Linked DNA regions of Drosophila melanogaster. The protein of the gene in region 1 interacts with the protein of each later gene in a pairwise test. Each region holds a gene or a part of one and is shown on either strand. Other genes may lie near its edges.

What was found.
Region 2: the proteins of mesh (region 1) and Lfg interact in a two-hybrid assay, tested with the Drosophila melanogaster proteins (one large-scale study listed by BioGRID).
Region 3: the proteins of mesh (region 1) and wat interact in a two-hybrid assay, tested with the Drosophila melanogaster proteins (one large-scale study listed by BioGRID).

The regions. Positions count from the first base shown.
Region 1 is NT_033777.3:31,190,330-31,201,495, reverse strand, and holds the start of mesh (mesh), read left to right. Parts: upstream 1-5,733; 5' UTR 5,734-5,779; intron 5,780-5,986; 5' UTR 5,987-6,041; coding exon 6,042-6,438; intron 6,439-7,106; exon of another isoform or gene 7,107-7,199; coding exon of another isoform or gene 7,200-8,111; exon of another isoform or gene 8,112-8,134; intron 8,135-9,661; coding exon 9,662-9,897; intron 9,898-9,986; coding exon 9,987-10,174; intron 10,175-11,166. Other genes in the region: CG1544 (uncharacterized protein), read right to left, coding at 1-437, 514-587, 931-1,092, 1,556-1,775, 1,862-2,039, 2,208-2,325, 4,361-4,484; bnk (bottleneck), read right to left, coding at 7,200-8,111.
Region 2 is NT_033778.4:12,869,434-12,880,025, reverse strand, and holds Lfg (lifeguard), read left to right. Parts: upstream 1-3,059; 5' UTR 3,060-3,235; coding exon 3,236-3,254; exon of another isoform or gene 3,255-3,736; coding exon of another isoform or gene 3,737-3,764; exon of another isoform or gene 3,765-3,818; coding exon 3,819-3,925; exon of another isoform or gene 3,926-3,944; intron 3,945-4,001; exon of another isoform or gene 4,002-4,082; coding exon 4,083-4,184; exon of another isoform or gene 4,185-4,246; coding exon 4,247-4,753; 3' UTR 4,754-4,862; downstream 4,863-10,592. Other genes in the region: Nmda1 (N-methyl-D-aspartate receptor-associated protein), read left to right, coding at 935-974, 1,316-1,641, 1,705-1,953, 2,012-2,371; Balat (Beta-alanine transporter), read left to right, coding at 5,096-5,208, 5,372-5,687, 5,746-6,807, 6,866-7,189; bic (bicaudal), read right to left, coding at 9,114-9,623.
Region 3 is NT_033777.3:29,012,216-29,023,587, reverse strand, and holds the start of wat (waterproof), read left to right. Parts: upstream 1-3,181; 5' UTR 3,182-3,565; intron 3,566-11,372. UniProt on the Drosophila melanogaster protein: Catalyzes the reduction of saturated fatty acyl-CoA to fatty alcohols. The preferred substrates are C24:0 and C26:0. Necessary for the final stages of tracheal maturation, to facilitate the transition from water-filled to gas-filled tubes.

The DNA.
Region 1 (11,166 bases):
AGCTCGTTGTGACCCCACCTTCTGAAGCAGTTCAGATCAATAAAGATGTCTTTGCGGAATTCCCTCTGGTACCTAAAGGCCAAGCTTGTGACCCTGGCCAAAGCCTCGGGATCATCGCCGTTGACATGGAACACAGGAGCCTGAATAGACTTGGCCAAGTCTGAGGTGTAGGCAGTGGATCGTCCTCGATCTCCGGGCGTGGTGAATCCCACCTGGTTGTTGACAATCAGGTGCAGACTTCCGCCCACCTCGAAGTGAGGCACATAGGCCATGTTGAGGCACTCCTGGTTGATTCCCTGGCCGGCGAACGCAGCATCACCATGAAGGATTACGTTGAGCACGTGCTCTCCAAAGGGCTGACTGCCATCCCCGAAGGCACCCTCTCCTCTGGCTTGCTGTTTCGATCGCGTTTTTCCCATGGCCACAGGATTGGCCGCCTAGAAGTGGGATAAAGGAGGAACACGATGCTTAAATTAGAAATCAAATTTCAAAGTTTGACGTGTGTCGGCTTACCTCCAGATGGGAGGGATTCCGCACCATGCTGAAGCTCAGCTTCTTGCCCAGTATTTTCAGCTGCTCGGAAACATCTGTGTGCGATTCGGTTCAGGTTTTATTAAATTAAGCATACGCCGTGTGTGCTTAGGCCAGCAAGGCTAAGACTGCTTGGCGCACACGAAAAGGATGGGATGAAGGGATTTTAGTTCAAATGAAGACTATGAAATACCCAGGATATTAAAATCCATACCTAGTACTAAATACTTTGGGATAAATAATTGACTATAAATAAGTTATATGTTACATTTTTTCTCCTGTTTCTATTTTACGGTCAATTCAACTTCAGATCCTTCTTGTCCGTGTAATAAACGAATATACCAGAATACCCTACTATACCTGTAAGCCCACCGAACGCCCCGGCAAAGTTTCACTTACGGAAATGACTTATGACGTCGGACATGGCCTCGATGTCTTCGGAAAACTCGGATGCGCCGCTGAGTTTGCGGAAAACTTTCGCCGGCCGCATGTTGAGGAGCGCCGCCTGCAGCGGAGTCCTTCCTCGATGGGGCATCGCCAGGACCACGTGCTCGATGTTCGCTGTCATTCCATTGTATAATTTTTTTTTATCGTTGTCGTCGTTTCCGTTGTTTTTCGGGGTAGCATGCGAGAGGGAAAAGTTTTGAGAAAGCAGATTAGGGTTAAGTAAGCGTGCGATGATATGTGAGCATGCCTGTGGGAAGGAAGTTTGGAATGCTGGCTAGAGTTCAGGTGGGCTAGCTCAAATTCCGAGGAGCAGATTCACCATCTCTGCGGACTGTCACGAGACAAAGTTCGGCGTCTTGAAATGGGTGCGCGATTCCGCGTTTTGCTAATCGCGTTTAAGGAGCGGTCCACACGCACGAGACCGTATAAATCATGTCATAAATATGGGATGAAACTTTGAAATTTGGAATAAAATGGACTTAATCGTAGAAGTTTATGAATGTTGCTTTGCCAAATCGATGTTCAACGGAGTGATGCATCCAAATAACTTCATGATGGCATTGCGTGGGAAACTCACCTTGGACACTGTCACGGAGCAGTTGCCAGAAGAAGGCTAGCATGGACTCGGCTCCTTCGCCTCCGTATCGCTTGACTGTGGGAAACTTGAGTGCCATGAAATTGTCCCAGGCCTGCGACTTAATTAACAGCTCGGCGATTTCGCAGCGCTCGCTTTTTCCCAGCTGCTGCTGGTCCAGCGTCTCAAAGTTCCGGGCCAGCCACTCACGCTCCTCGATGTCCTGCGAAAATGAGGCAGCGGGATCAGCACGCAATGTTTATGGGATGCGGTGGAATGGGATGAGATGCGATAGGACGGGACACCTACCTCGACGTAGGAGAACTCGGCGCTGGTTGAGCGGCCGCAGTAAATGTCCTTGAGCAGCTGCTCCAGCTGGGCGACGTTGTGGGCCACCTGCGGACCACTTAAAAGGCCATCGGTGCGCACCGGCTCCTGTGTCTGCAGTCCATAAAATGCGGGACTTAATTCCTGCAGCTCCTGCTGGCTGTGTCCAGTAGCCACGAAAATTCACAAGACAAATACACGCAGCCGGGGCGATATTACAAAGCAGCCAGAAAGGGAGAATAAAATATGACATTTGCCAGGACGATTTCGGGAGGGGTATGGGAAAATGGGAGCTGGGAGCTGGGTACTGGGTGCTGGAGCCTCCTACCTCGTCCTGATGCTGATGGGATTTACGGCTGCCAATTTGTGCCCATGCTGGCGAAAGGCCTCCACAAAGCGATAGACGTTGGCCTGCGAGTTCCTTGAGGCCCGCACATCCTCGGCCACTGAAACACACGCGTAAACAATATAAATTTCGCCCCACGTTATAAATTATTTAAAAAAGGATTCACGTGCACATCGCCCCGTTGCCACGTTGTTCGGCCTTTTGAATTTATTGGCCTTTTACTTTTATGATATTTATTCTTTGCTTTTTACGCTTTGCTTCACTTTGATGGACTAGCTGCCAGGTATGTGCACTTTTGAATCGTATTTACCCGGCAAATATTTGGCATTCGATATGAATTCGAGTGGAAAATGTCGAAAGGAGTTGGCTAAAGATTTAAATGGGGCTTATTGAGATTGCGTGCAGAACATATATTCTTATCATATACATATATCGTTAGTTATTCCAGTTAGCAGATTTACATCGAATTTAAAACTATAGAGTGTACCACGACGTTTGTGCTTCCCGATGGCAAGCAATTCGTGCTACATATGAGAAATTACGATTGTTGTTTTTATTGCCTTTGTTGGGATATTTTATTCCCTGGTTGAGCCATTGACAACTCGTTGGCTGCTTAGGTGTTTACGTGTTAAAGTGTTATCCTGCTTACAGGATTTATATGCGATGACGCATATCACTCGATTACAGTACCCTGAAAATTCGAAATCCGTGGGACAGCTGGCATTTGCCAGTTAGACCGACCCCAAGTCGTCCTCAGAAATTTATGCAATTTCTCGACGGCATTTCGGCCATAAATCAATTTAATGTTAAAGAGTAGGTCGCTTGGACAGGAGCACAGGGTGTATGATGAATTGTATTTGCGGTGACAACATTTCAGCTTGAGCGTGTAAATATTATTGGAGCACAGCGGCGCGTCCTTTGCCAAGGATAATGATTGCCCTGACAGAAATGCAGCCAAAGGACGAACGGCAAACAAGGCGAATTATACCGATACTACACTGAGGCAAAACTAACGCTTAAAGTCAGTTTTAGTACGCTTTACCATAATTCAAAATACTGGTCAATTGGGTTTGCTTTAGAATATCTAACATACTTTTCCAAAGCCTGAGTAAATCCTAGACTTGATTTTCTCTATGTGCATCATCCTAGGCGCCTGATGTCACATGGTCAAGCGTTGAAGGCTTTCCTCTGGTGCCCAGTCAAAGGCTCCTGGCAGACTATCCAACTACCAACTACCAACTGGTGACTGGTGTCTGTTGGCCATGGTGTCGATAAGCCCCAATTGTGTACGCAACGGATGCAGGACAAGCACAAAGAAGCTCCCGTTTTGGGGTCCTTTGTTTGCCGGGCTTTGATATTTAGCCGGGTCCTTTTTGGACTCCCTGCCGTGCGTTTTGGGAAAAGATATAGTATCTCTGCACTGGACATCCGCCTCTCTTCACTTAATTAGTGCACTGCACGGGGGGTCTGCCACAATCTCCTCATTCTAATTATAAATTCGGGGTACTGGGTGTAGCGCCATATATTTCGGGTTTATCAGATTTCAGAGTGAAAACATGTGATAAGCTGAGAACGTGGAGATTAGCTTGGGTAGGTAACAGGAAAGACGGTAACATTAAAACCATAAAAAATATTCCACCAGTCAACAGGAGCTGTTCTTTCTCGATAGTATGAGAGGCATAAACAATGAACTTCAATTTAAAAAATATTTTGCGAAATTAAGTTAAACCTGAAGTTAGTGAAAATAATCCTAGGTATCCATACGTATTCCCGTATATACCCTCCGATTACAGGGTATACAAATGATATATCTTCTTTAAACTGGTTTTCGAATTCACCCACAGCAATTTGCACTTGATCTCTTGTTCAGGCTGTTGTTTTATTGCAGTTTCTGCGGGGATTGTTGTGGGTCAGCTGCTTGAATTCCGCTGATAAATAGCCGGCTGGAAAATCCGACACGAACGCACACACACGCACACAATGTCACTTCGTCGGTTTTTCTTTTTGCTTGGGTAGATTTCCACTGCCCATTCATATGAATGTTTGATCCCGAAAGACTCTTATCGATGCGATGGTTATCTCGACGGATGAGGTTTTTATTGAAGTCTTGGCAACACACTTGTTTACAACCGTACCTTGAAATTCACGCTGGGCAATCGGCTTATAGCCCCAAACGCCCTTTTCGCTGTGATAGCACCGCGATTGTGGGCGTGGCAGTTTTGCGATTCCCGCCTCCGAAAGCGCCAGATAACGCAGCATGCTGATGGATTAAAAACGAGGCGTGTATGCCGGATCACCTGATAAGTTCGCAGCGAAATCGCGGTCTCTTCTCGCCGCCGTTCGACCCAGAACTAAGGGCAATTCACTTTTGTTTGAAGCCGGGACCCCCATATTCCAAATAAACTAAATTGCTGATAAGCTGGGAAATAAACCGGGAGAGAACAAATCCCTCCGAAAAGTAGTGCCTACTTTTGGGCTGGTGGTGTGATATGATCGCTGTTAATTAACAGAGCGCTTGTTAAACACATGTATGAGATGATAATGAATTTCAAAATAGTTTCTTATCAGTTAACTAAAGCTGATAATGCAACAGGTTCGTTGGCCAATAATGGATTGCCTTTGAGAGAGGGAAGAGTTGTATCCATTAAATTAGTCATACATATGCTCAGGAATATATTGAAATGAACTGTACCATAGTTAAAAACATTTTTATATTTATATATATATTTTATACATAATTATGCTGTCGTTTGTTTAAAAGATATATGGGGTACATTTTCAACACCAATTTTCCCCTAACAATAACCACTATAAAAATATATCTTATCCTTCGATTTTTATTATAGCAATGTTTATCTGCATTATTGTTTTATAATACCCTTTTAGTCACACAAGTTGATCCTCAAAACGCTTTGATTTTATTAATTTGGAGTTCCCCACTCTGCACTTGATTTCTTCATTAATGAGGACCATGACACTTTCATGTCCTAATGAAATCCATCAGTAGGCTTTTTTACGGGCGGCTGATATTCATAACTCTAAAGCTTCATCGGAAATGCCTATTAATGGTCGGTAATGGGTCATTGTCTATAATTAAACCGGAAGCGTGCTCTCATCAATTTCGCATCACACACATACATGTTTAGGCTTTACAGCCCATTCAGCTTTTCACAAAATGGCCGCGTCATGAGTATGATTAACTGTAATGGAAGTGAATCACAAATCTGCCAGAGACCATTGTCAACAGAGAGAAATATAGGTAACGGTCCCACGAATGGGCATAAACAAATAGGTTGGTAAATTTGGAGCACAGAGAAGAGAGTGAAGCTTCCCGAAAAAGCCAAGCGGGCCGAAGAAGGAATGCGTTATCGGTGCGTAGTATTCCATTGATAAGATATGCCTAGCTTTATCTGGCCGATAAGGCAATGTTTCACAATCGAGTAGACGGCGACAGGTGAACTGAGTTTTGGCAACGCCCCGATCGGGCCGTTAGAGTTAACTTAACTTCAGTCTTAGCTGAGCGGCTCGCTGCAACGAACGTGTTTTCCTGCCTGGTAATTAAAGTTAAAATTGAAAATTGGTGACAAGTGATAAGAGAACTGATAAGCCATTGCCTTAACTGATGATGTCATCAAGTGAAAATTGTTAGAAAATGAGGATATCAGAGGAAAAATAGTGTACAAATTCGCATGAATTGAGTGCTTATTGAGTGATACTTTTATTGTGGATGCCTAATTGATGCCTTTGTGTTTTTCTTTTAGCAGTGAAACGAAAAAACGAATTACCAATTAAGTGACAAATCGAAATCAAGTGAACATGCGTTTCAAACTGTTTGTGGTTTGTGCGCTGGCCTGCGGGTTTATGGCCTTTGTCCTGGCTAACGAGAATATATCGACGGAGGAGTTCGAGGATCAAATAATCAATGCAGTTCCGGAGCCGGTCAAGGTGACTAAGCCCAAAGCTCAGGCGGAATTCGTTGAGGTTCCAAAGGCCACGCCCGCTCCCAAAAAAGCGGAAGCGGACAACCCGAAAACCAAACCACTGGCCCTGCAGAAGCCCACTCTGATTCCCGTGGTGCATGTCAGCAGTCGGGGAACAGATGATATCCTCACCGTCGCGGGACTGAAGCCCGAGAAAATGTTCGGAGCCCTCATCATGCCAAATGACTATTTGGGGGAGCTGTACGACGTGGACAACAGCGGCTACAATTGGGGTGAGTAGGTTTCGTTGTCCCTGGGCTGATTCAGTTCCACCCCATTACTCATACGCCGCGTTGACTATCTTATCAGAACAGCTCAGTGGGTTTCAGTTTGGTTTAGTTACCAATATTTGCTCGATAACCTGTGTTCGGGCATTCAGGTGTAGGTGCTGTAAGCCCCTCTCTCTCTCTCTCTCTCTCTCTCGCTCTGTGTTCTTCCCGATAAGATAATGCCCCAGGTTGAGGCATTAAAAAGCTAACGGTTTCTTGTTTTCCGCTTCGGCAAACAAAACAGGTGCGTGGTGGCATAGTGAATATACGCATATGTATGCACACGAATATAGGTGTGGACACGGCGGACAGCGGGAGCACGGAGTCTTGCGTGATTCAGTTTACAACCTGTGGTAGTGTGTGGATTTAGCAATTCTGTTTTATCAGTCCCCTAGAACTGATATATTGGCTATTCGGAATTGGAATTTTTGCCGTATTAGTCACAGTCATTTGTTAGAATGTAACTGTGTAATAAAAAAGGGTTTGGTCAGAAATAGAATATCGAAATATATATGTGGAATTACTCACCGATTGCAAAGGAGTAATGGTTTAAAAATATTGTAATATTTGTAATGCCTCACTTGCCAAGAACAAGACGCTTACATTTTGTTTCATATATATATTTATATTTTATCTTATATTTGAACTGTCTTTAGAAGCTTAGGCTAACTTATAACTAAAGTAAGGCAATCCTTTGGAACTTACAATTAACCTAGTTTCTGGACCTAAGCACTCATCGAGATGCGCTGCTCGTACTCCGCGATGCGCAATCTCACGGGAACCACTAGACTGAGGTCCTCCATGATGGCGTGGTTCTGGGTTCGTACTGAGGCACTGGAACTCTGGCGGGAGATGGTGGCCCTCGACTTGTCCATCGAAGGCTTGCGGCGCAGGGAGCACTTGCGCTGGCTGCCCCCCTTGCCCACGCCCATGGCTGGTACATGGGGAGTGGCAAACTGGGCGGTGGTGGCCGACAGTCTCTTGGGCTTGGGTGGTGGCACTTGTCCGGTCACGGAACCACTGAGACTGTGGTCGCTGCCCAGGAAACTGTTGGCGGTGCTGCTGTTGGCGGTGGTTGTGGCAACGTTTTGAGGACGGGCGGTGCGCAACATGGCTATGAAGCGGTTGTTGGTGGAGCTTGCTTGGGGCATCAGCTTGCTGAAACCCGACTCAAAGGTGTTGGTCAGCTTGTTGAAGAAGTTGATTTTGTCGGTGACAGTGGGTTCCTGCTGCTGATGCTGCAGTTCCTCCTGTTGCAGTGGCTGTTCCTGTGGCTGTCGCTGTTCCTGCTGTCGTGCGGTTTGTGGTTTCTCCTGGCCATTATTTCGCTTGGACATTTCCAGCACTTTTTCCCTCAACTCCATGGACCAGCGTTTCTGGGCCGTATGCAATTTGGGTCGCAGTGGGGATATGCCATTACCCGGCTCCGTTTTGGCCAGTTCCACGGCCAGTTGGCTGGTAAAGCGCGGCTTGGGCGTGGAGGTGATGGTGGGCTGGGCGGACATGTCCTCATCAATGTCCATTTCCAGTTCGCTGATGCATGAGGACGAGGAACGGGAGGCTGTGCTGCCGAATCCCGGTGAGGACGGGCTAAGCTTGTAGTTGTAGAACTGGAAGTTGAAAGTGCTGATGCTCATGTTGACGGTTGAAGTACGAATGTGCTGTTGAGACCAGGAACGCAGACCTTATATAGGTGCACTTCTAAAGACTACCTGGTCCAGTTTTCACCCCCGGCAGCTGGTGCCAAAAGTTCAGGTAGCCGATCCCGATAGGCGATACCCAGCCTAACTTAATTCCGGGAAACTACCTGAGATCACTACCTAAGCTATGAAAGTAAAAAAGGAAGATTTCTCAAAGGAGCGATTTCCCGGTAATTGCAACCCGAACACGCGAGTTTTGCGTGTTTTCCGCGCACCAATTTTTGGCAAAAGACTGACGGCTAATCCGCACACTTTTATAAGGACCACCAAAAAGGATTAGCGAGGGTATCGAATCATAAATAGCTTAAAAACATTAAACGCGACAGATGTTCAGGGTTTCTACAAGCAATCCGCTGGGGTTTATGGCCACTTCACACTGTTGACGTTTCATTACCTGGCTCGTTAAAATCAAAATCAATGCAATTAATGATTCACCCGACACTCTGCAATTCACAGCCGACAAAATAATAGAAGGAAATGAGGGAAATAAAAACGGTGTTATACATTAAGCATACTACTGCAATTTCCATATATTCAAAGAGAAATACGCAATCAAACTCAGATGGAATGGGAAAATATCTGTGCAAAAGGCGAAATGAGGTGTCAGGATCGTAATGGGGTTCATTAATTAATGGAATTATAAATGAAGCTTAAATTGTATGTAAGGAGCGGGTTCCATTGAAATAACAACTAACTTAAATATTAAAATTGAATTTGTGAAATAGAATTCAGGGAATTCAGCTGGGATAGGCACGAAATGAAAAGTTAAAGATGCTGCAAAGTAGACTGTGATACCTGCACTGCCCACTAATATTGTTTCTGTAAAACAAAAGACAATTAAAGTATTTATTAGTTAGCTAATTGAACTATAGAAGTACAAGACAAAGCTTAAAAATATTAAAGTATTCCTGCAAAATGCAATGAATGTCAACCGCTTTTGGTGCAACCACAACTCTCCAGGGATGTCAGGAATATTTTGAAATCTTTCCCGGGACTTCACCACGAAAACTTCGCCAGCAATTTAAGTTTCTGGCCAGCGTCAGGAGCAATATCCTTAAGCGGATCCTGGGTTCTTTCATGGGCACACGTTTGCAGTGTCCATTGGGAACGTCAGCTTTGCACTTAATCAGCTTAAATTGCTTTAAAAGGCCAGCGGTGAGGCGAAATTAGGAAAAAGGGGCCAAGAGTAGCAGAGAAGAAGGAAGACAGCAAAGTTTGCAGCGCAGAAATGAATATTAACTGTGACCTTTAATGGCCAAGCACCCGGAACGGGAGCTGCAAGGATGTGGGTGGCAAAGTTGCAGCCGGAAAATGCAAAAGAGGCCAGGAAAAAGTTTTCTTTCACTTTATGCCTTGCAACGCAGCAAGTGCCAGGGATAATATTGTGGAATTGAAAAAGTAATCTCGCCGGATTAGGTGTGAAATTATAATGATAGGCCAGAGCTCACCTCTCTAAGCTATTTGTCTTCTCCTCTCGCTGTTTCCAGATCCCAATAACAATGTCGCCCCGCCGACCACATACTCCACGGCAGCCGGAGGATACACCATAACCGCCGCCCGTCTTGCGGAGCTCAGGAGCAACTTTATGTACTGGTACTTCGACAAGGACATGTACGGAGGACGTGGCGACTACCAGTTCGACATCCATGCCTCCATGACGCAGCTGCACAAGAATCTGAACTTCCAGCTGCCCTTCTACGGCTTCCGATTCAACTACACCAGGGTAGGGTTTCTTTAAGATTTTGACATGACTGTAAAGCTGCACAGAATATGCGAATCTGACTGTAATCCAACAATCTCCTCCTCTTACAGCTTTCCCTCAACGGCTACTTGGAGTTCTCGGATCCGCCAGAGTACCTAACTTACCCCCTGGTCTTTCCGATCAAGGACTGGCCCGCCAAACGCGATCCCTCCTTCATGGGCATCTTCTTCAGCAAGTGCCGTGTAGGACGAATTTATCCATCGGATATTGACCAGCGGACGCCCGGTGTTTACTTCCGGTAAGACAATGCATCTCTCATCTCAATATATTTCCGTATTATCCCCTCCCGCTCGCATTTCCGGTTCGTTTGTATTTATTTGCCAGCCGTATTTATTCGCCCTTGTTTCTCGTGGCATTTGCATATGCGAAATCAGCACACAGTACGCGCCAAACAAAAGTACTCATACGTTCACATTCGTTTTACGTGCGCCAGTCGCCATTTACAGAAAACTAACACAAAATGGCATGAGTGTCTGCGTGCCCCACTCTTCACTTCCGGTCCTCATGGCCCCATTCTGCATTCTGCATGTGTGTGTGTGTGCATGTTGTGGGCCTGCATTTATGCATATGTCCTTCCAAACTGTATAATTTATTTGACAAACAACTTGTTCTATATTAATTCAAGGAATTAAATTATGAAATACCAGAACTTGATATTTTGGCACACGTGCACCATGTCAAGTAATTTCTTGTGATTAAAGTCAACTAAGTTAAGTGACTGTATTTTCCCTGAAATAATGTTATTTATATATATATATATATGTGTATTAAGTGTATTATCCTTCCGACTTTGTGGAGGTCCAACCTCCATTATTGTGTGACATGGTTAGTGTTTCGTTGCTTGTTACTGTCATTTATTGCCCCAGAATTTCTGCATTATTTCATGGTGGCTACCTGTTCATCTGTGCTCCGTAATATTTCCGGGTTCCCAACAGAATTCCAGCACCATTATTTTCCTGCTGATTTCAGCATGCACTCGAGCGTGAATTCATTGCGAAGTGTCCATCGTTCTGATGCATTGTTAAGGATTTTGCAGAAAAGAGCATTCACTGCATTCAAATCGTTTTTATCTGAGTGCAACAATGCATTTCGAAATATAATTTGTGAGTTCAGGATGAATTCGCTATGTGACCAATTCTACTCTAATTATATTCTGTTGCCAGGCACTTTCCCGCTGAACTTTCCGAGGACAATGTTTAAATTTATACAAACATGAATTTCCATTTTTTT
Region 2 (10,592 bases), on another chromosome or scaffold:
TTTCTCAACATCTGGTGAAGCATTCTTAGTTTAATTACAATACTCTGTATGTTTTAAACATATATAAACGATAGTATATAATTTACAGAAAATGCGCCATAGTGTGGTACGTGTCAAATAAAATTTAAACGCAATAATGTTTAAGCCGAGTTTAATGTAGTCTGTAAATGTACCACTTTCTAAAAAAATTAGTTACACCACCATCGATAATTACAGCTGCGTTCCGATAGCAGTCAGCAGGCACATCTCTGTTAATTTATAGCAAAAAAAAAAAACAAATATTCAGAAAAACAACATTCAATTGTTTGTTTTGATCAAATAGCAACGTAATCCAGAGGTAATTAGTCATCCAAAGAGCATAATTTGAATAATGGGAAGATAGTAGGTCACGTCAAAGAAAATTATAATAGTGTGGTTTCCCGGTAATTTCGAGAAGCTGGCAATTTCCAAAAGTGAGTCACCACTTTTCCTACACCGAGCTGCTGTGTATGTATTATTTGCGCTGGTGGTGCTCCGGCTGAACTAATTTAATAGCTGCGACTACGTTAAAGCGCTTAAGCTCGCAGTTCAGCGTGTAGGTAAGGTTCATAAATGGCCCCAGCTATTTTCAGAGAACCCACACAAGAAAGCTTGAGAGGTACACGTCATGGGGGCCACAACAAACGAAACGGTGCCGAAGTTTCTCAGGCATTACTATAGTGGCAAATTGATTGATAATTAAAGTTGCATGCCACCAAAGGTGTGCACATTTCTTAGACACTAATTAAATTAGCTAATGATTGCTTATCATCGTGTCTTTGCAGGTAAAACAACAACGAAACAATGCAAGGTGAGTGGAATAAGGACAAGCCGTACTAACACATTCTTTTTGGATCTAAGTTTACTCCACAGCGGTTTCGGAATTACATAGAAATCAGAGCGAAGTCCCTCGAGAATGTCCTGGCAAAGTGTTCCCCAGTATCCCCAATACCAAGGTTCAATCTTCTTAACTTCTAAGCGAGTGTTACAGCTTACCCGTTTTCTGATCGCATGCTTTTGTTCGTCCCGGGGCTTGTCGACCCGTTGAATGCTCAGTAATTGCCCAGAGCTGATTCATTTCCATTACCTCTCTCTCTTTACACATCGTACTTGTCCCTTCTTATCATGGTTGTATGTACATATTTGCTCGAGATTGTTTCTTGGTTTACCGCATCTCTTCGTCACGGCGAAGCGTTTCATTTAGATTTTACAGTTCTTGGTAGACAGATTGCTGTAGCGAACGCGTTGGTAGCACCGTTTTAGATGACAAACTAAAACGAGATGTCTTATTTCGCAGATCCCAACCAGCAGTACAACTATGGCGGCGGTAATCCCCCGCAGGGAGGATATGGTGGATATCCACCTCAGGGCGGCTATCCACCTCAAGGACCGCCGCAAGGCTACCCACCCTATGCACAAGGAGGTGCTCAACCCTATCCACAGCCCTACGGACAGGGGCCTCCACCGGGAGGTTATGCTCCCCAGCCGGGATTTATCCAACCACCACCATCTGCTGGCGGCTACGGAGCCTACGATGATCCGGAGAGCCAGCCCAAGAACTTCTCGTTTGACGACCAAAGCATCCGTCGCGGATTCATACGTAAGGTGTACCTGATTCTAATGGTGAGCTTTAGATAATTCTGCATAGAAGGCATGTACAATAAGTTATCATTTCTGTGTCATTAGGGACAACTAATCGTCACTTTTGGAGCTGTTGCCCTGTTTGTATACCACGAGGGCACTAAAACCTTTGCCAGGAATAACATGTGGCTCTTTTGGGTTGCCCTCGGCGTAATGTTAGTAACCATGCTGTCTATGGCTTGCTGCGAAAGTGTGCGCCGCCAAACACCGACGAACTTCATATTCTTGGGTCTGTTTACAGCAGCTCAGTCGTTCTTAATGGGAGTTTCCGCAACCAAATATGCTCCGAAAGAGGTGAGTACTTCGATTTAATTACGATATGTAGTAAAGTGATACGATATCTGTTTTCCAGGTTCTCATGGCGGTGGGCATAACAGCAGCGGTTTGCTTGGCCCTAACGATCTTCGCCTTGCAGACAAAGTACGACTTTACTATGATGGGCGGTATTTTGATCGCCTGCATGGTGGTGTTCCTGATCTTCGGCATCGTGGCCATCTTTGTAAAGGGAAAGATCATAACACTGGTGTACGCCTCGATTGGAGCGCTGCTCTTCTCCGTTTATCTCATCTACGACACACAGTTAATGATGGGCGGCGAGCACAAATACTCTATCAGTCCCGAGGAGTACATCTTTGCGGCACTAAACCTCTACCTGGACATCATCAATATCTTCATGTACATTCTGACTATAATCGGCGCATCGCGCGACTAAGTTCCGCTCTATTTCCAAATATTGTTTGCAGCTTAATCGGGTTATTCAGTAACCTGGAATACACGAATATTGTTGTCGCGTAATCTCATCGGTGTGCTCCCCCAGTGGAGGTAATCTTCAACTAACGAATTACTCAAATACTTACAAATCTATCTACTTCGTGTTGTGTTTGCCCATTTTCCCCGTTTCCTTCTAGTTCTAAATGTCAACTAAGGCTATATGAACTACTTACTTTTTGTTATGTATGTTTTATTGTTGCTTAAGTTGAGGCGCAAACCAAGTGGATATTTCCAAATTTAAAAATAAAAAAATTATATATATGTATGTATACCAAATGATATGCCATTCAGATAAACGAAACAACAATAAATAGTCACGTATAAACATATTTATGTAAAAATATACATATAAGCAAGTTGGCTTGCAGTTGTTAACACATAAAACTTAACCGTGTGTAATAACCAAGGAATCCCGATTTTCAACTATGAATCAAGTACCGAACATTGTAATCCCTGCAGCGACACTGAGTTTAAAGTCAACAATAAAGCGCATCTATTTATTAAAGCCACAGACCCCTGCATTGTAGGGCTTCCGTCAGTGGTTCATCCAGTTCAACCAGCCAGCCACCACCAGATGCAACTTTAGTCTGCGACTTCAGAGCGACGCCGTTGGTTGGATTACTTCTACACTCCAGACCATTATCGTCTGCATTTTTGCTTTATCATTGCTTAAGTTAACTTTGTTATCTGCACCACCACAGAAAGAAGTCCGGGTGTTTTAATTTCGGGTTGGCCCCATATCATGCGTTTGACCCGGCCACCTGTTCAGTAGTTCGTGTGAATTCCAGCAGGGCGTAGCTATAAAATGTATCACTACCAGCAAGGTAAGTACCGCCCGGATTGGGCTGAAACCAAACCAAATTGGCTACGGAAAGGTGCTTTAGATTAGATAATCGATTTGGCTATTGTATAAAGCTTATTGACTGCATCGTTTTCTCTCAGTAAGAGCCAACAAAATATATCTCTCTCGGCGCATTTTCATCTGATAAGACAGCTGAAAAGGTTTCGTTATGAGCCCAAAAACAGTGATTCACCCAATCGAAGGGAGAGTGAACAACCATTTTGAAATTGTATGGTGGCAATATCAGTTACTCACCGACATCAATACACAAATCTTATCTAGAGTAGAAGTGTGGGGCTGTGATAAGAGCCGGTAACCGGCTAATCTCAACTCATACGTCCATATGGGAACACCTAGAAAGGGCGATTCGGTTCCATTAAGCTGAAACACTAGCACGCTGCCGGCAGTCGGGCAAAGAGAGCACCGTAACTTAAGTGACTAAAGTTTAGTCATAGCAATTTAGCCATGAGCAGCGACAATCATTTTCAGTACGGTTAGTCATTGCATTAACTTTCCTGCTTCCTTGAATTGTCTTCCAACCACACAGGCGATGAAACTGGCGCATACACAGATGCGGAAGCGGACAAGAGCTTCGCCTTCGATGACCAGAGCATCCGGAAGGGATTTATTCGAAAGGTCTACTTGATATTGATGGTAAGTGCTGATATTTGAACTGAAAAAGAAAATATCAATTTAAATTGTCCAAAAATAAAGGTATTTGCTTCACTACTTGTCTGCTTTGGGTCACTTTAAAACTTCAAGATTTATTGACTTCCTGCAATCTAATTTTGATATCGCGCTCTATTTCTAGTGCCAATTGCTGATCACTTTCGGTTTTGTTAGCGTATTTACGTTCTCGAAAGCTTCGCAGGAATGGGTGCAAAAAAATCCGGCACTGTTTTGGATAGCCTTGGTAAGTTTTTACGACTTTTATGCTAAATATTGAATACAAATATATCCAATTTTTAAACTCAGGCCGTTCTTATCGTGACCATGATCTGTATGGCCTGCTGCGAAAGTGTACGCCGTAAGACGCCTCTTAACTTCATCTTTCTTTTCCTGTTCACCGTGGCGGAGTCGTTCCTTCTGGGTATGGTCGCCGGACAGTTTGAGGCTGATGAGGTCCTGATGGCAGTGGGAATTACGGCCGCGGTGGCCCTGGGACTCACCCTGTTTGCCCTGCAGACCAAATACGATTTTACGATGTGCGGAGGAGTGTTGGTGGCCTGTCTGGTGGTCTTCATCATTTTTGGTATAATCGCTATCTTCATACCGGGCAAGGTGATCGGACTGGTCTATGCCTCCTTGGGAGCATTGCTCTTCTCCGTTTACTTGGTGTACGATACCCAGTTGATGCTGGGTGGTAATCATAAGTACTCCATCAGTCCTGAGGAATACATCTTCGCCGCTCTAAACCTCTACCTGGACATTATTAACATCTTCATGTACATACTGACCATTATCGGATTGTCTCGCAATTAGACTGGTCATTATGATCCATAGCTTCTATTCCAGTTTTAGAAATGTAACTTAATTTTATGTGCCCAGTGCCACCTTAGCCGGAAAGAAATACAAGACGACTAACTAATCCAACATTGTCGAGTGCTCGCTTTGGTTTGGGATTTTGGCTGGGATTGGGGCGCGCTCAACTAGTTCGAACCTTGTCCACACCGCGGTGTCCAATTAATTAATGCGCACGAGAGGCCGTAATGTAATTATGTTCAATCAGCCCCTGCAGCGCCACCAGTTCCTGGACTGGATTGAATGTGGACAAGGTGATCGGCGCGATCGTCAGTTGCGCGAGCGTCTGGCTAACGGGCGGACATGGATTTCGACGAGGTGCTGCGGGAGGTGGGCTCCTTTGGTCTCTACCAGAAGGTCATCATCTGTTCCGTTCTATTGCCCGCCGCGCTGCCCTGTGCCTTCCACGCATATAGGTTGGTCATCCTTCTTTGGTATTCTATAATAATAATATTGAAAAAGAAATCTTAATGGGATTTTCACATCCATGCGATAGCATCATTTGGGGTCTACCTTTTCGCCTCTTAAAGGTACCTCATCAGAAAATTTTCATAATTATCTAAAATGATTATTTTCTAGCCAGTTGTTCATAGCGGCCACACCTCAGCACTTTTGTCGCGTTCCTGAGCTGGAGCCCTGGACGCAGGACTATGTGCAGCTTGTTAAGAACCTGAGCATTCCGCGTAATCGCAATGGAGCCTATGCCGAGTGTTCCATGTACTCGAGAAATTACACCGATATAGTGCGCTATCTTGAGTATCGACCTCCTCCGGATTTGTTGCGACAACAGGCAGAGGATTTGCTCAAGTTGCAGCCGGATACGACGCAGGTGGTGCCGTGCCAACATGGCTGGCACTACGACAAGTCCATATACTCAAGTACGGTGGTTCAAGAGGTGGGGATTTTCCAATTGGATATGGTATGTTAGAATTATTTCCTCATATATCTTGCAGTGGAACCTGGTGTGCGACCGCAGCTTCCTTGTGACTTTGGCGCTTGTGGTCTTCGGTGTTGGCGGATTGCTAGGTAACTATGTATTTGGATATCTAGTGGATCTGTGGGGCAGGCGGCCATCCTTTTACGCTTATCTGCTGCTCGAGATCATTGCCTGTGCGGCCAGTGCCTTTGCCTGGAACTATTACACTTGGTTGGGCCTGCGCTTTGTGGTGGGACTGACGGTGCCAGCTATTCTGGCGAGTCCCTATGTACTGGCCATTGAGCTGGTGGGACCGGAGAGGAGAGTTTTTTGCACCATCGTCTCGAATATCGCCTACTCCTTGGGCTTGGTGGTATTAGCCGGAGTTATCTATATCGTACGTGATTGGCGGGAACTCAGTTTGGCAGTGTCCATGCCTTTGCTGATGCTTTTCTCCTGCTTCTTCGTGCTTCCGGAATCACCACGATGGTTAATGGCCGTGGGAAAAACCAGGAGGGCCATTAAAATTCTCAAAGTAATGGCCAGAGTGAATGGTGTGCGCGTAAATCGGGATTTTGTGGAACGGTTGCAGCGAAAACTTGTCATCACAAGGGCTGCGGAAACCAAATCTTCAATGACCACCCACTATGGGATATTGGACTTGTTTCGGGGACCCAATATGCGTCGGAAGACCCTGATCATAACCCTTATTTGGTTTGCCAACACCAGTGTCTACGTGGGACTGAGTTATTATGCTCCTGCGCTAGGAGGCGATGAGATCTGGAACTTCTTCCTGGCTGGGGCGGTGGAACTGCCAACATATTTGCTACTCTGGCCGGGATTGAGTTATTTCGGAAGGCGCTGGATCCTGTTCATATCGATGCTGGTGGGCGGAGTCGCCTGCGTGGCCACATTTCTGTACCCAGACATCACACTGCTGCTCTACTGCGTGGGCAAGATGGGCATAAGCTCGTCCTTTGTAGTCTTGCCGCTCATGGCATCTGAACTGTATCCCACGGTGGTGCGAGGACTGGGCATGAGCTTTAGCTCGGTAATATCCATGGTGGGACCTATAGTGATTCCCATGATCAATCATATGGTGAGTGCGGCTCAGGGGATTACTGTTTACCATAATATTCACCCATTTCTCGTTGCAGGGTCAGCAAATGCTCGTACTTCCGCTAATTGTAATGGGAGCCCTGCTAATCTTGGGAGGATTTGCTAGTCTTTTGCTGCCAGAGACCCGTAACCGAAATCTTCCACAGACTTTGGAGGAGGGCGAGGCAGTGCCACTGAGCTTCCTCCTCTGCTGCTGTGTGGAAAGCGAGCGAAAGCCGAACAATATCCGTGCGAGTCCGAAGAAAAGGATTCTTCCTGAGGCCGGAACACCGGTTTTCCATCGTGTAGATACTCCGGTTTCAGATAGAGTCCCTTGCAAGATCGTTTGCAGCATTTGTAAAAATGAAATGCGCACACTTTAGTCAGTTACTAGTTGTTCAAATAGAGTTGGTTAAAATAAAGTTTGAAATTGAAATTAATTTGTTTTGATTTTGTGGCGGCACTGCGTCTCTTACATCTGGCAACTCTGTACCGCATGTACATACATACATACATACATACATGTGTCACAGTGGTGTGAGCTATTAAAAGCTAGAAAATCTTTAGATTATCCTTAGGTCAAAGTTCAAGACCAAAATGTGACAAGATTTTAGAATATTTTAATAATTAATAATTATATTCCTAATAAGCTCTTCCAAATCTTTAGCCCATAAAACATATTTCAGCAATCTATTGTAAAATATTCAAAACACTTACATACATACATATGTATATCCGCAGTATTAGCTATGCACGCATGTTTATAAAACAAGTTGGCAGGACAAAAAATCAAAACAAAACCCAATTGGAAACCTAATAAACATCAATTAAATATATTTGCCACAATTAAATATGAGTTTTTAACTCTATTTGACCTCGTCACTGATAAAAATACTAGCATTTGCATTAACCTTAATCCGTTATAGGTCGTCGAAATGTGATAAGAAGCCGCAATCGCTTGTTTATGTACAAATGAGTGGAAACTTCAAGAAACATTCCGGTTGAACTGGCCTAATCGCAATTTTAAGCCAATTTAAACGTGACTCATTTCGAAGATTTCCGACCAAAAACCATATACATATTTATATATATACATATGTGCATGTACCGCATGCTACGACTCCCAACTTTGGATTTGGACACATAATTTGGAAGTTGCGTACGGGTCATAGTTCCTGCCGAAGGAGCCTTCTGACCATCTGGATTTTAGACGTACCATACCAAATGTCAACAAGTTTTCGACTGCCGCGTGCTTTGCGCCACACCTCCCACTACCCCTTTCCCATCACCTCGAAAACCTCACACAAGAGCGTTGCTATGCATACACACACAGGCCCACACTCACACACATGTCGATTATGCAAGCAAAGAAAAAAATAGGCATTAAACTAAAAAAAAAATGCTGGAAATATGAATGGGTCGTATGGTTTTTACAGCTCATTTAATGTTATGCATGGTAATGATGGTCTAAAACAATAGTTTACAAATTATAAGCTATGCTTTCAACAATTTGGGCACATTGTTCTCGAATCGAAATTGTGGCCTCAGCTTGTTTTCGTTTTCAATTGAGGATTCCTTGAGGGCGGGGTTACATCGAAAAGTCGGAAATTGGGGAAAATCGGTAAGAGCTAGTAGTGCTAAAAATATATTTCTCTGTCCTCGCGACCTGGCAATGAATTCATCTGGAGTGTCTGCGTTGTTCCCCTAATCACCTCGTCACAATTCTTCCGAAAACCGTATCGTATATATATAGTATATAGTGTTTTATGACAGCGCATATATCTATAGATACATCTGTGTGTGTTGTTCTTGGGAGGGCGGCAAAAATTAGAATGTGTGTGTTGTTTAGACTGTGGTTTTTTTTGGTTAAGGAAACGTTCTTTAATCGCTTTGGAAAATACATTTGACTGTTCCAAACTAGTACAATTAGATTAAGATTGAAGGGTTCCCTTAGTATGTTAAGTATAGTTATTATGCTTATGTGTTCTGTTCAGCGCTCACTCGGATGCCTTTATTTTTGTATTTTAGTATAGTGTGTAGCATGACCCCCAAAAAAGTGGCTGGAGGGAGCACGAAGAATGGCCCATTCAGGGCAGAAGCGCTGGTTGCAGTCCGGAGTGGATCCGTTTCCGATTTGGAACCGGAATGGGTAAGTGGTAGATGTGTTTCCGGCGTGTCTGGTGTGTGGGTTCTGCCCTGTATGCCAGCCACTTCGTCTTGCTCCCTGGCCCCGTATGTTTTGTATGTATGTTTTTGTGTTCGGTGTGTGGTGGTGTGATTTGCCCGGGTGGGCGGGGTTGGACCAGCCTAAGCGGAGGCCGCCACCTCACCGGACTTCTCCTCCTTTGTGTCGGCGATGGCCACCTCCTCGAAGTTCTCGACCAGATCGGGCACATCATCGTCACCGGCATCGGCGGCTGAAGAGCCGGCTGCTCCGCCGGCGCCGCTCTTGCTGGCAATCTCCGTGGCCAGCTTCTTCAGCTGGTTGATGTCCTGGGGACCCAGTTGCGTCAGAATGCCGGGCACCATCTCGGTGATCGTCTTGTTCTCGCCATGACCCGTGATGGCAAACGTGTTCGTCGGCAGCGAGGCCTGGGCCTTCGGATTGTTGAAGTGGATGACGGTGCCATCGTTCTTGATGATGTTCACCTCCTCGATGCCGGGAATTGTGTTTACCGACAGCTTCTTGAGCGACGACTGCAGCTTCTTGTCGTCGGTGGCGGGCGTGGAGTGGACGATCTTCTTCTTGCGGCGAGGGGTGCCCTTGCCGCCAATGCGCACCTGCGCCTGCAACTTCTTCAGCTTTTCCGCGTTCATCTGTTCAATTGAGTACACACAATGGTCGCATCAGTAAAACGCCAATCGAATGCCGCACTTTCCACTACTCACTTTGATTTTACTAGAATTTAGCACAGAGCCTTGCCAGAAAACACGTGCGCCCAGTCGTAGTCAAATGTCAAAAAGAAATCGCCATGATAAAAATGGCAAAAGGTGTATGTATATGTGAGTAGTACTGGTAGGAAGTACTAAACGTGAGTGTTGACTATCGATAGCTCACAAGGTGGCAACCAAAGCGCGCCAAAGAAATTTAAAAATTCTATTGTTTATATAATTTATACATTATTTTTGAAGTAATACGTTTTCTGAATTTTGAATGAATTTTTAGTTTTGAATATATTCAAATTTTTAGTAGTATATGGTGGGAAAGTAAATCTACTCAGGGCATAAATCTCAATTTAATCGATTTACTTTATTTTCATCGCTTTCAACCACATATATAAGTAAATATGTTTAAAAATTTGCTATATAAAATTAAAAATAAACGTGGTAAGAAAAAAAACCAATTTACTAAACATTTGGAATGTTAATAAACATAATTATGAGCCATCATAAACCCAGCAATAAAGTTTTAAACACAATTAAACCAGATGTAATGTTTGAATTAATTAATTCTTATATTTTCTATTCCAATAGTATCGATTGCTTTGTTGAGTTCGATAGCTATCGTTGGCTTGCATCGACTACTCACTAAACTCAGCAGTCAGTGCTGCATAACGTCATCATTATGATAAATTGTAATGTTTTAAAAAATATCTATACAAAATATACAAGCTTAGTATAACAAACTCAATTTAGTAAATATTTGGAACGCAAATAAATAAAATTATGAGCCATTATATACCTTGCAATAAAGTTTTAAACACAATTAAATCAGATGTTATGTTTGAATTATCGATTGCTGTGTTGAGTGCGCTAGCTATCGCCGCTTTACATCGACTGCTCACT
Region 3 (11,372 bases), 2.2 Mb from region 1:
CTCCATGCAATTCGGCGAGTTGTTGTTTGCACGATTTGTTGCCGTGGCCGAGCGTCTTTGAACCCGCTCTGAATTTCAATGGCTTCCGTTCAGCCATGTCCATGTGTGTCTTCCAGCCAATGTGTTGGTAATTCTGCATTCTACCGTGACTGATACTTTTATACCCTCGATGGGGCATTTTATTTTTGCATTGAATGGCGAAGTTGCACATTGTCACAAACCATATTTTCACTCCGGGAATTCCGTCGAGAAGTGTTCCCAGAAGTGTTCCCAAATTAGATTGCTCACCACTAAATTCAGGCATTTGCTTGACTTTGCAATTAGAGAGTAAGCGACCAATTCCAAGATCTTTATAGTATATATCATTCCTTGGCTTCTTCAAGTTGTGAAGGGTATTGAAAGCATAGGTTTCTTTGTGTGTTAAGAACATATTGGAGGCGTACGCTGCGTTCCGTCTGGCCATAAAATAAATCAAGCAGCCCGACACCAGAGTCAATAGTAAATCACGGCTGAAACGGCAAATTACCAGACACTACTGGCCATCATCTCGTCATCGAGACTCCTCGAATAATTATGCGGTGACGCGACGAATTTTCCACACACTCCAAATGCCGAATTAGCCCTGGCAATTACCTTTTTAGATTTGCAGCTTCTGGACTTTGAGTTTGATTTGTTATGGCCGCTGTTTTCTTTTTCTGTTTGTCTTTGAACGGCGCTATTTGCTAGTCGATTTGTTAGAATATCGAGAGGTAAAAAACCCAAATGACTTGGCAATTTGCCTTGGCTATTATCGCGATGACGAAGCTGGCCAGTTTTTGGGGGTGCAACCGTTTGGATGGATCCGCGATTTCGGCCCGGATTCTTGTCGCTCAAGAGCACCAAGGTCAACTTTCGCTTTTTTAGTGCTCCATTTTATTGGGTTCTTAAATTTCGGTTGCGTTTATTGCACTTCGCTTTTCAGCTCGACTGTTTGGTTAGTCCATATGATTTTGGCCATACGATTGAGCCTGGTAATGCAAGCTAATTTGACGGTCCATAAACGGTCTGTGTGGAACATAAAAAAAAACCACCATATAACTAAATAGTTTATAAAAACAATAATCGTAGAATGATCAGCTTAAAAAGTATTTTAATTTGGCTCGAACGTATTTCAATGCCCTTGAAAATAAACAGGTAGATAGTTGAACCTTTAATAACTGACTATGTCAGAAACGAAGAATAACTTTTTAAGCTAATTACTAAGACCAGGTGCGAAAATCGGCGAGAAATCAGATTTTCAAGGTATTGACTCAAAAAGGTAACACTCAGTTGTCTGGGTAAATGTTGCCCTATTTGCTCATTGCAAACTGTCCGCCTACAAATCGTAACTTTTTATATAATGGAGCCCCGAAATCTGCATAAGTAAAGAGGCATTTCAAAGCAATTACACAGCATAAATAAAGGCATCAAACAATCTGCAGGCCGTTGTACCTCGAAAGTGAAGTAATTATACATCAAAAGCGAATCATGTCATTGTCAAGTGTTTGAACAGAGCTGAACAAGATCGGATCATACCTGAAAAGTGTGCACTTGAGTGTCTTTTGATGGGGCCACCATTAATATGCAGTGTCTTGATCGCGAATATTATTATTTTAATTTCGTTATTTCGCATTTGTCATTAATGGGCCTTTTGTTTCGTTTTCGTACAGCGTTTGTGCGAGAGATATTCGAGTTTATAGACTCTTTGAGCTTGGCTCTGGTGTGAGAAGATACTGCGTCAAGATACAGATACAGATGGGATCGGCGACAAAACATGCTGGGAACTACGTGATTGATGGCGGCACTGCGATTACCAGCCGAACAGCTGAACAGTACTGAACTCGACTTAGAATACTCGGCCCAGGCGAATATATTATAAATGCTGGGATATATGCGAAATCAGTGAAATCTTGTCGCGTCTAAAAAGGAAAATCACACAGCAAATGCAAAATTTATGAGCGAACTACGTCGAACGACGTCTCCGGGCGAACGGAGCAGGAATACCAATTGGGCTGGGTTTTCGATTGGGATTCGTATAGGGATGGAGCGGATGTGCACTGCACTCGAGGATGAGTCAGCTGAGCCGGAGGTCCGTGTGGGTTCAGCCCTGTCAGACAGATCAAACTATAAAGACAGGGTCCAGGTTCGCCGAATGTCTTTAATTAGCCAGCACGGTTTCAGAGATCTCATCTAGTAATCACTTTATTTACCAGACACAACTTGGGGTCAGCATGATAATCATATGCTATCATCACTTAATTAACAACGGAATTTTTTATACAAGATAAAAGAACATACATATAATGCAAAGTAATCCAATACATTTTCGGTTAATCATTTTGCACTTCTTAACAATCATAATGATAATCCGAAAATTCAATCGCTATGTATTCAATTATATGGAGCCTCATAATATATGATATATGTACACGCTGCGTATGAGTAATATTTACAGTTCATCTCGAAATCTTTGCTAATATTTTGAGTATTCGTCATCTTCGTTGGAATGATAACTACTAGTATACATTGGGTATGGGAATATTCAATTTTGAAACTCAACTGAATAAGGCAATTGTAAAAGATACTGGCGTAATCTTTGATTACCAGCACGTTTTGTTAATTGTTTATTAAAGATGCTTTGGAACCTTCAAAATGCTCCATTTAATAGGATGAATGGCAAGCTGTAAGCTAAGTAACCGGCGCTATTTTAACCCAAGTGACCAGCGCTTAAGTGAAGTCCGATGTACATATACCGCAAATATATCTCAAATGCTTCGGCTTTACGAGGCTCCATAAAATTGGATCATAACACTGGCAGTGTCCGAAAGCGATGCTCAGGTGCGGCAAGTTAGTACGACTATGTACATGTGTACACTTCAATCGCCAGTCCAAACTGCGCCACTCAATTTGACTTGATTTTTTTTTTAAGTTTGGCTTACCGCCCACAAAACGCCGCAGTCGCCGTCGCAGTCGACGCCACCGTCGCTGAGGCGCTGAGCCGCTGAGCCACCAAACCGCTGAGCCGCTGAGATGCCAAGCGCACCACCATCGAGCCGCTGAACGGCGCCGATCCACGGACTGAGAAGCCGCCGTCAGGTGTTGTGGTTTTTGCGAGCCTCAATCGAGCTGAGTCTGTTTTCGTCTGCCTGGCAGCGCGGTTCTGGAACGCGTAACGCTCGCATCGACTTCAAAAGTTAGTTTTCAAACTCGGGACTCAATTCGCTGGATATACAAAACCGATTCGGTTCGGATCGCGGTGCGCTCCCAGTTTTTCCACCTGTTGCAACCAATTTGGCATCGCTCTTTTCGCTACTCTTGTGCAACAGCGCGTGCTGCAGTTGTAAAGCGCGTTTGGTTAGAGAATTTTTATATATTTCGAAAGTGGCAACTGAAAAAGATAGAAAACCAAGAGATATATCCCTGTATGCCAGCGAGCAAGATTCGTTTTGGCAGATCCACGAGCCCTCCAATTAGCCAGCAATTTGCGGAAAGCCACTCCAATCCAATCCGTGGCCGTGGGATCTGTGCCTGTGCAGCCAGCAAATCGGTGAGTCTTGAATTACATGGGATTATAGACAATCTGCTCTGCTATCCGTATACCTGGTAATCGTATGACATATGCCATTACGTATATGCTAGGCACTGTAGGTAGTGGTGGTGGTAATGTAGCTGGCGTTGATGGCTTTCTAAAAAAAATACCCATATACCCAAATACCCAAAACGGGTTGGATTCGCTCCGCAGGTGCAGGAGGGGCCGACGAAGAGCTCATAGCCAATTGCCAGCACACAGGCATTCACGAAAAAATGTGTGAAATTTCATTGAATTTCCCAAATTTAATACACAAACAAACCCACTCGGCAATTGGGAAATAACTCATTGTTTTGCCATTGCAATGGCAAAAGAGTTACGGCTGCCAAAGAATCGATAATCGCCAGTTGGATTATTATATTACTCCCGTGGTCTTTGTGTATTTCAAACAAGTTTGCATTCATTCGTATTTTATATATGGCCAAACCCAAAAAATAATTGATTAGATTGGGAAAAACATTCATTACTGGATCAAGAGCAGTTCGATCAATATTTAAATTCCCACTTAGCAGCTCACTAATTTGGCAGAATAAATAATATTATCTGTGACATTTGGTTTTACAAATCCGTGACTAATTGTTCTGTGCTGGCTATAAAAGAAATTACTTGATGCTCAAAAATATACAAAAATATACATACCTTTTGTAAAAGAGACTAAAAGGCCAGAAGAGGATTTTAAATATTTAGAAGATACGCATTTCAGTGAAATGTCGCAATAAAAATGTGTTGCATTAAATATTATTATATTACGTAAATCATATTTCAGCTGCGCAGAAATGTGCAATTTGCCTCAGCTTTACAAGCCATTTAAAATCCGAACTCAATTAAGCGATGTAATTTGGAAATTAAAGTTCATAAAGAATTTAAAGAGTGGACGCCCCCAAGCCCTTTATACAACAAATACTTTCGTTGGCCAAATTTAAATGGCAATGAAATGCATTCAATGAAATATGCATGAGAATATCATCATATCGTGCTGAAATGAAACAGAGTTTAAAAAATCGATTTGTGTGCCACAATTAAATGGGCCTCAAGGATGCAATTAAAGTATCTAAGTATCTGTGCAGGAAAAACCCAGCCAACTCTTTAATTGAGGCGAGACGAGAAAATAGTGCTAAACTTCATGTCATAGCGATTCAATTAATTCGCAATTTATCAATTTTCAGTGCCAGGGCTTTTTGATGCGGCCAAACATATTTCATTTGTCCACCACAAACAACTGGTATTCCAGTTCGGATGCGGATGGGGATTCGTTGGGAGTTCGCTTCGGGATCCGTGGGCGGATGGCTCTGGTGGCTCTGGTGTTCCATGTTCCATGTTCAGTGGGCTGACGTGGTGGGGCGTCAAGTGGAAAATAATCGATGATGTGCCCGGGCACAATGCAAACATTGAATCAAAGTCAAATAGCATTAAACTTTTTGAACTTGCGAGGCGCGGCGAACATAAAAAAAATGAAATAATAATAAAAGTTTGCCCGCCTTCCAAGAGGCGTGAAAGCGCACACAAAAAAGTGGGCAAGCGGGGTAGGGGGTTTTTTTTTGGGTTCCTGGGTTTTTGGGACTCGGTGCTGCAGTTTTGGATCTCCCTTTCCAGAGATTTAGTGCTTTTCTTTTTTTTGGATGGATAAGCGCAGCGTTGCGCAAATATTTGACAAATCCCGCGAAAAGTCTGCTTATGTTGTCACCTCGCCTCGTTGCCATTTCTATCCAGCACCCAGGGAATGGAATGGGATAACTGGGATGGGATGCGATGGGATTTGCAGTGTGACTGGCACTGGGCCAGTCATGCTGATTAGGATTGCACCGAAAGACACTTGCCACTTGCCACTTACCACTTTCAACGTGCGACAATGTTTTCGAATTGAAATCCGAATCGGAATTTGCATGCGAATGCTCGCGGTGTAATTTATATTTCGCACTTGGCGCACTTTTCATTTCGCTGCGCGATTTTGTTTATGCAATTTGGCCAACTGCCTGCCGAATGCCAAAAGGAAGGCAAACGCCTCAGGCTTCAGGCTTCTGGCTAACGAGTGCAGGCGCGTGTCTGTATCTATATCTGTATCTGCACCTCTATCTGTATCTGTATCTGTATCTGTATCTGTATCTGTATCTTGTGGATAGGGAAGACCCCCCGAGATTCCCATATAGCAGGTGAAGGCGAACGTAAATGCGCCAATTTGTATGCAAGCAGCATTAATCGAGGGGTAATCCGGCAGCGATGCATTGCAGCCAGTTAAAGCCCAAGCCCAAGCCGATTCCGAATCCAAATCGAAGTCCAAAGCCAAATCCAGAGCCAGAGCCACTGCGTTTCGACCTGGCCAAGAGGGGCCGACATTACGTGAGATGTGCAATTGCACGAAATTGATTTGCAATCGATAAATGTGCGAATATTGCTTCTGCTGCGAATTAGCAGCCAAACAGCCAAACGGCCAAGTGTCCAAATGGCCAAGATATCCGAAGGCGCTCTTCGCCTTGCATTTTCCAGGCGTGTTTAAGTATGCATAAATAACTCATCGGCCGCCTGACCATGAATCCAATTGGGAACATCTTCATTTAAATTGTTTAGTAGCCGAGCAATGCGGCTGAGTAATGTTTGCATTGTATCTGCATCTGTGCCTCCGGTATCTGCACATTTTTCAAGCTGCCAAGTGGCAACGTTCCTAAATAAAGGTATGTTTTGAACATAAATTTTGTCAATTTCAACTATTATCGGGTGAGTTTGCATTTACCATACTCGTATAAAACGTACGGTTTTAAATTACAACAAAGATCGAATTTCCATGCAGATATTCTATATATTTGTAGATAAAAGTGTTACACTTGTAGCTGTTCATTTGAACACGGCCATATTAAATTCTGCATGCTCATTTAATTAGTGTAATTATATTTGGCACAGTACATATGTAGCTGCTCTGATATGTTTCATATTACACTTATTAATTATTTAACGAGCGCTGTAATATATAATTGTAAAATTCCTGCGGTCTGAATAGCCCACTCTGAGTGACAGCCAGTTGATTTAAACGGAATGTGTTCTTTAACTATAGATGAACCATTGATAAGAGGTTAACCCAAACATTGCAATTATTTATATATTTTAATGCAGCATCTGGGCGGAGAAGCATATAAATTATATTGTTGCTGAAACTTCCCATGCCAGCATTGATATTGATAAAATTCAAAATAAATCCAATCGCTTTCGGGCGTAAAAAAAATCGCCTCTCTTCTATCAAAATCGCTCCTTGGCCTGTGTGTGTGTGTGTGTGTGTTTGTGCTCACGCTTTGTGCTGCAAAAATTGAAAAATCAAACACAAGGAAAACCACTCGAGATTCAGCAGTGCAATCGATTTCCAAAGCAACATTGGTGGTCGTACCAAAGCAGTTGTATTGGTAATATTGGTAGCATAGTAGCCACTGACAAGGTCAGCACTTGGGCTTTTATTTGGGGCCCGGCGGTTGTCGCATTCTAAGCAAATCGCAATTGCCATATAGCTGCAGCTATCTACTACAGCTATACTCGTATATACAATACATTTGCTATTAGCTCGTTGTGGAATCGTTTGTTGAATCGTTGTTGAATCGTTGTGGAAATCGTGGCCCGGCCGTAATACACGTATTAATCTTGCCTCGCTTCTTGTTAGATGTGGCGTTGTTTTTGCGGTGGCAGCTTTGCTTTTGCCTTTTTGCTTAGTGCTTTTGCTTTGCTTTGGCAGCAACAAGTGTTTAATTGCGATAAATGCACCTGACCGCCTTGAGCCTGAGCTTGGGTTTGGGTTGAGACTGGGTTCGGACTGGGTTTGGGCAAGGCTTTCTGGTTCTCTCAGAATCTCTGCTGCTTTTCCACCTGCCCACTGGCCAGCACTACGCGAAAAGGTCAACACAATTCGGCTGCAGGCCAGCGGCATTGAACATGAACGTGGCCCGAAACTCTGCACGTAAAGTTGCCAATTTTTGTTGTTTGTTTGTTTGTTCGTTAGTCAACGTTTTCGGCCCAATTAAGAGCGGGCCCATAAATTTGGCATGACCATTTAAACATAAACCCCGACCGTGTACATCCTGTAACGGCTTTTTAATTATGCATGTCGCTATGAAAGCGTCGCTGCTTTGGCACTTGGCTAAAAGGTCTGCCAGCCCAGGCAACTGGGTCATTACCATGGCCTGGTCTTGATCTTCTGCTGATGGGGCCGTAAAAGACTTACTCCAACAGGTTGTAAAGCCAGTGAATTGTCTTGAATGTAATGTGCCATAAAGACATAAATTACAGTTCGGCCCAGAGACGCTATGGATATGGTGGCTTAGGTCAGGCATTTGATGCCGCTTATTGGAGCGTTTTCAGGAGCACCTCTTGACCTTAGGTAAGGGTCTTAGTAGCGATGGAGCATGTGCTTAGAGGAAGAAGAGTTCCTCTTTCGTACGTGGTATATTTTATATCTCCTGGGTACTTAATTACCTTTCAGGTATGCGGAAATATATCAGAAATATTCAAGGGTCTTAATTTCCTTTTAAATCGTATGGAAACCCCTTGTAATCTTGAGTTCAACCGCAACTGCACTCAATGACAACTTCATGACTCAATATTAATTGAATTATTCCAATTGAGACCTGATTTGCGGAGTGGAATATTTTTGCCAGACTTTTGGCAAGTCATCTTATCCGAGCTACAGATATTGAAAAATGATTTGCATCATTTGGCAGGCAATAAACTGTAAGATTCGCTATTCGATTTCAATCGAAAATCACGCATGCCGCTGCCAGTCGGTCGGATCTTAGCCCACTTCCACTTCCTCGAATTGCAGTGGAGCAGAACCCTTGAGTTTAACCCATCGCCGCCCAGTTAACCCATGACTTCGGCGGCGAGTCACGGATGGCAGAACTGTGCGGAATCGAAATGCGAGTTCGAACGCAGAGTGCGTGAAAATGAGTATTATGGGAAACATTGCCACAAATTGATGCACTACGCAGTGCTACCTTTAATTGAATTATTAATTATGTACCTTAATGAATGCATAATTGAATAATAAACTACGTGCACACGCCCCCACAATTGTTGTGCGCATCGGCAGCGGAATTGTTCGCCGTTTTTTTTTTTTGTTTTTTGCACTTCTCTCGACCAGCCACTGTTAACCTTTTAACTTTTGTGCACCGAAACCGAACCAAACCGACCGGGGCGAACCAATGTTTCGCGTAGTAAACATAAGTTGGGGCTCATTAAGTAATCACATGGAATATTCCCGCAGCCAATTAAACCAAAAAGCCGCAAGAGGGGGTTGCGGGGCAGCGGGACTGCGGGACTGCGAGTTCGCCGAGATGGATAGACAACATCGCTCACTGGCAGATACAGATACATATAGCGATACAGGCACAGAACCAGATACAGATACAGATGCAGTTGCAGCTGCAGATGCAGATACAGATGCGAGAGCAGCATGCAGACACCAGATACAATTAAATTCGATTCAGGAAGCATTTATGCAGTTTGCATACATTTAATATATACGTATATATATATGCGTTTCATGTGTGTGTGTGCCGAAACATATGCATATGTATTTCACATTCGATTGCATTTTCGGCCAACACACACACACACACACACACACACACACGGGCAGCCATAAAACTGCAACTGAAGCTTCTTTGACGAAACATTTTTAAAATGCATTGTAAATAAATAAATCCGGAATTTCTTTGAATGTTTAACTGTTGCAAGTGGAACGCCAACTGAAATTTCAGCGGGATAGATAGTTAAAGTTCAACTGGCAGCAAAGAACTCATCTTAAAGGAGGATTGTTTTTTAAGAATATTATAATTCATATGATAATAGAACATATAATTATTTTAATTGCCTAAAAATACATATATGCAAGTAGTTAAGACAACCTTCACTAACATATAAACAGCATATCGCAGCATAAATTATGATTTTCCATCGCCGATTGACACACAATATTGTGCTATTTATGATTTCCATTGCGTAATGCTTAAATGCAATCATCCAATTACAGAAATCAAATAAGTCGGTGCACACTTCCTATAAATCAACGCGCATTTCCCCATAGCTTTCTATGCCCCGAGCCACACATTTTGGTATTATGTCCAAAATAATTCGAAAATCGTAGAAAAGCCGACATCCTTTGTTGTTGCCGTTAATGTTGATGTTGTGCATTTGTAATGAGCCAGCATTACAGCAATCGGCTTGAATTGGTTACGTTGTCCGCCAATCGAATAGTTCGCCCCGCCACCACCCACTTTTCCAGCCACCCCCCGGACGGTTGTCAGTTGCACCACACTGGGCAATGCTGTAAAAAACAATTTGCAGACAATTTTCAGTGTTTCAATCAAACTGGTTTGACATAATTTCAGCAGCCCCACGAAACGTTGCCAACCTGACAATCGCAGTGGTGTTTATTCGGGGAACGGGACAAGTTTCCAGACGTTGATAAACTGGCCAAATGCTTCTATCCCGGCTTCAGCTCCTCCAGTTCCACTCGATACGCAGTTCCAGTTGTAGTCGTTTCAAGACTTTGCCATTTTGTATGTCGCAGATGCATAGATACGCTCGTACGTGGAGCATTTTACACTGTTGCCTTACTTTGTGGGGGATTTTCGGTTTCGGCTCCGTTTTGTTTTGTTTTGTTTTGTTTGCACAACTCGTGGGGCACATGAACCCCCTTTATTTTTAGCTTCCCACTTCATACGGTGCGTATGCGTACTATTGACCGTTGGTTCACTTTCCTATTGCTACTCGATTTCTAAGCCAAAGCTTTGCCACACTGACCACAACTAACTTTGTGGCTATAAGCGGAAAACTAAAAAATATGAATGGGCTGGGAGCGATACTAACTAAAAGCCAACAAGGGGCTACCAACTGCCAAGTGAAACGAATACGAGGAACAGTGGTCAGTAAATTATTCTATTTATTTTGGTTATTTTTCAATATTTTTTTAGTCAACAGCATATAAAAAATGTTGTAGTTTCCTAGAATATTTTTCAGCTAATTTATAGCCAAGTTAAGCTTGTAGCTTAAACCGTAATAAATTAGTTTTTGTGGGATTCATTTGAAGTGTTTAAAGCAGCTGTAAGATGTACATTTATTTTATTAAAGTAAATATTCTTACTTCGATGAACAACAAGTGAAATAGATATCTGTTCGAGATACTTCTTCGATATGAGGTCTGATCCTGGTTCAAATGTTCCCCTGATTTCAGACCACTGCCGTCCAGTTCCTTGGCAGCTCACACACTCGTTTGCATACGACTTTTGTGCTGTGGTAATTTGTTTTAAATATTTGTTTAAAATATCAAAACGCACGTACGCTGGCCAACAGTACGTGGTATCTAACAGATAGATGTGAAAATAAAAGTTGTTTGCCCGGCCACTTGGAACCGGGAACTTTTGGAGGTGTGGTGCTGGGCCACTGAGGCACTAGATTCTCATGGCAACTTGGCGACGAGGAAGGGGAGAACACGTGAAATTATGCCCGGCCAGCCGATCCGGACCTAACGGGTTCCGCCTACGTGCCACCGATCTTGCTGGGAATCCGTCTGGTCTCGACTTCGACACCGATTTCGATTCCAATTCCAATTCCGATTCCGATTCGATCCCAATTCGAATTCGTTATGATTCGATTCGCAAGCGGTGACATTGTTATGCATTACGCACCCGAAAACCACCGACGAAATGCGACGTGTGTGCGGGTTTGGTTCCTGTGCCACGGTTACCAATTGCGACCCAGTCCCAGTTTCGAAATCTCCCGGCTTTTTCCC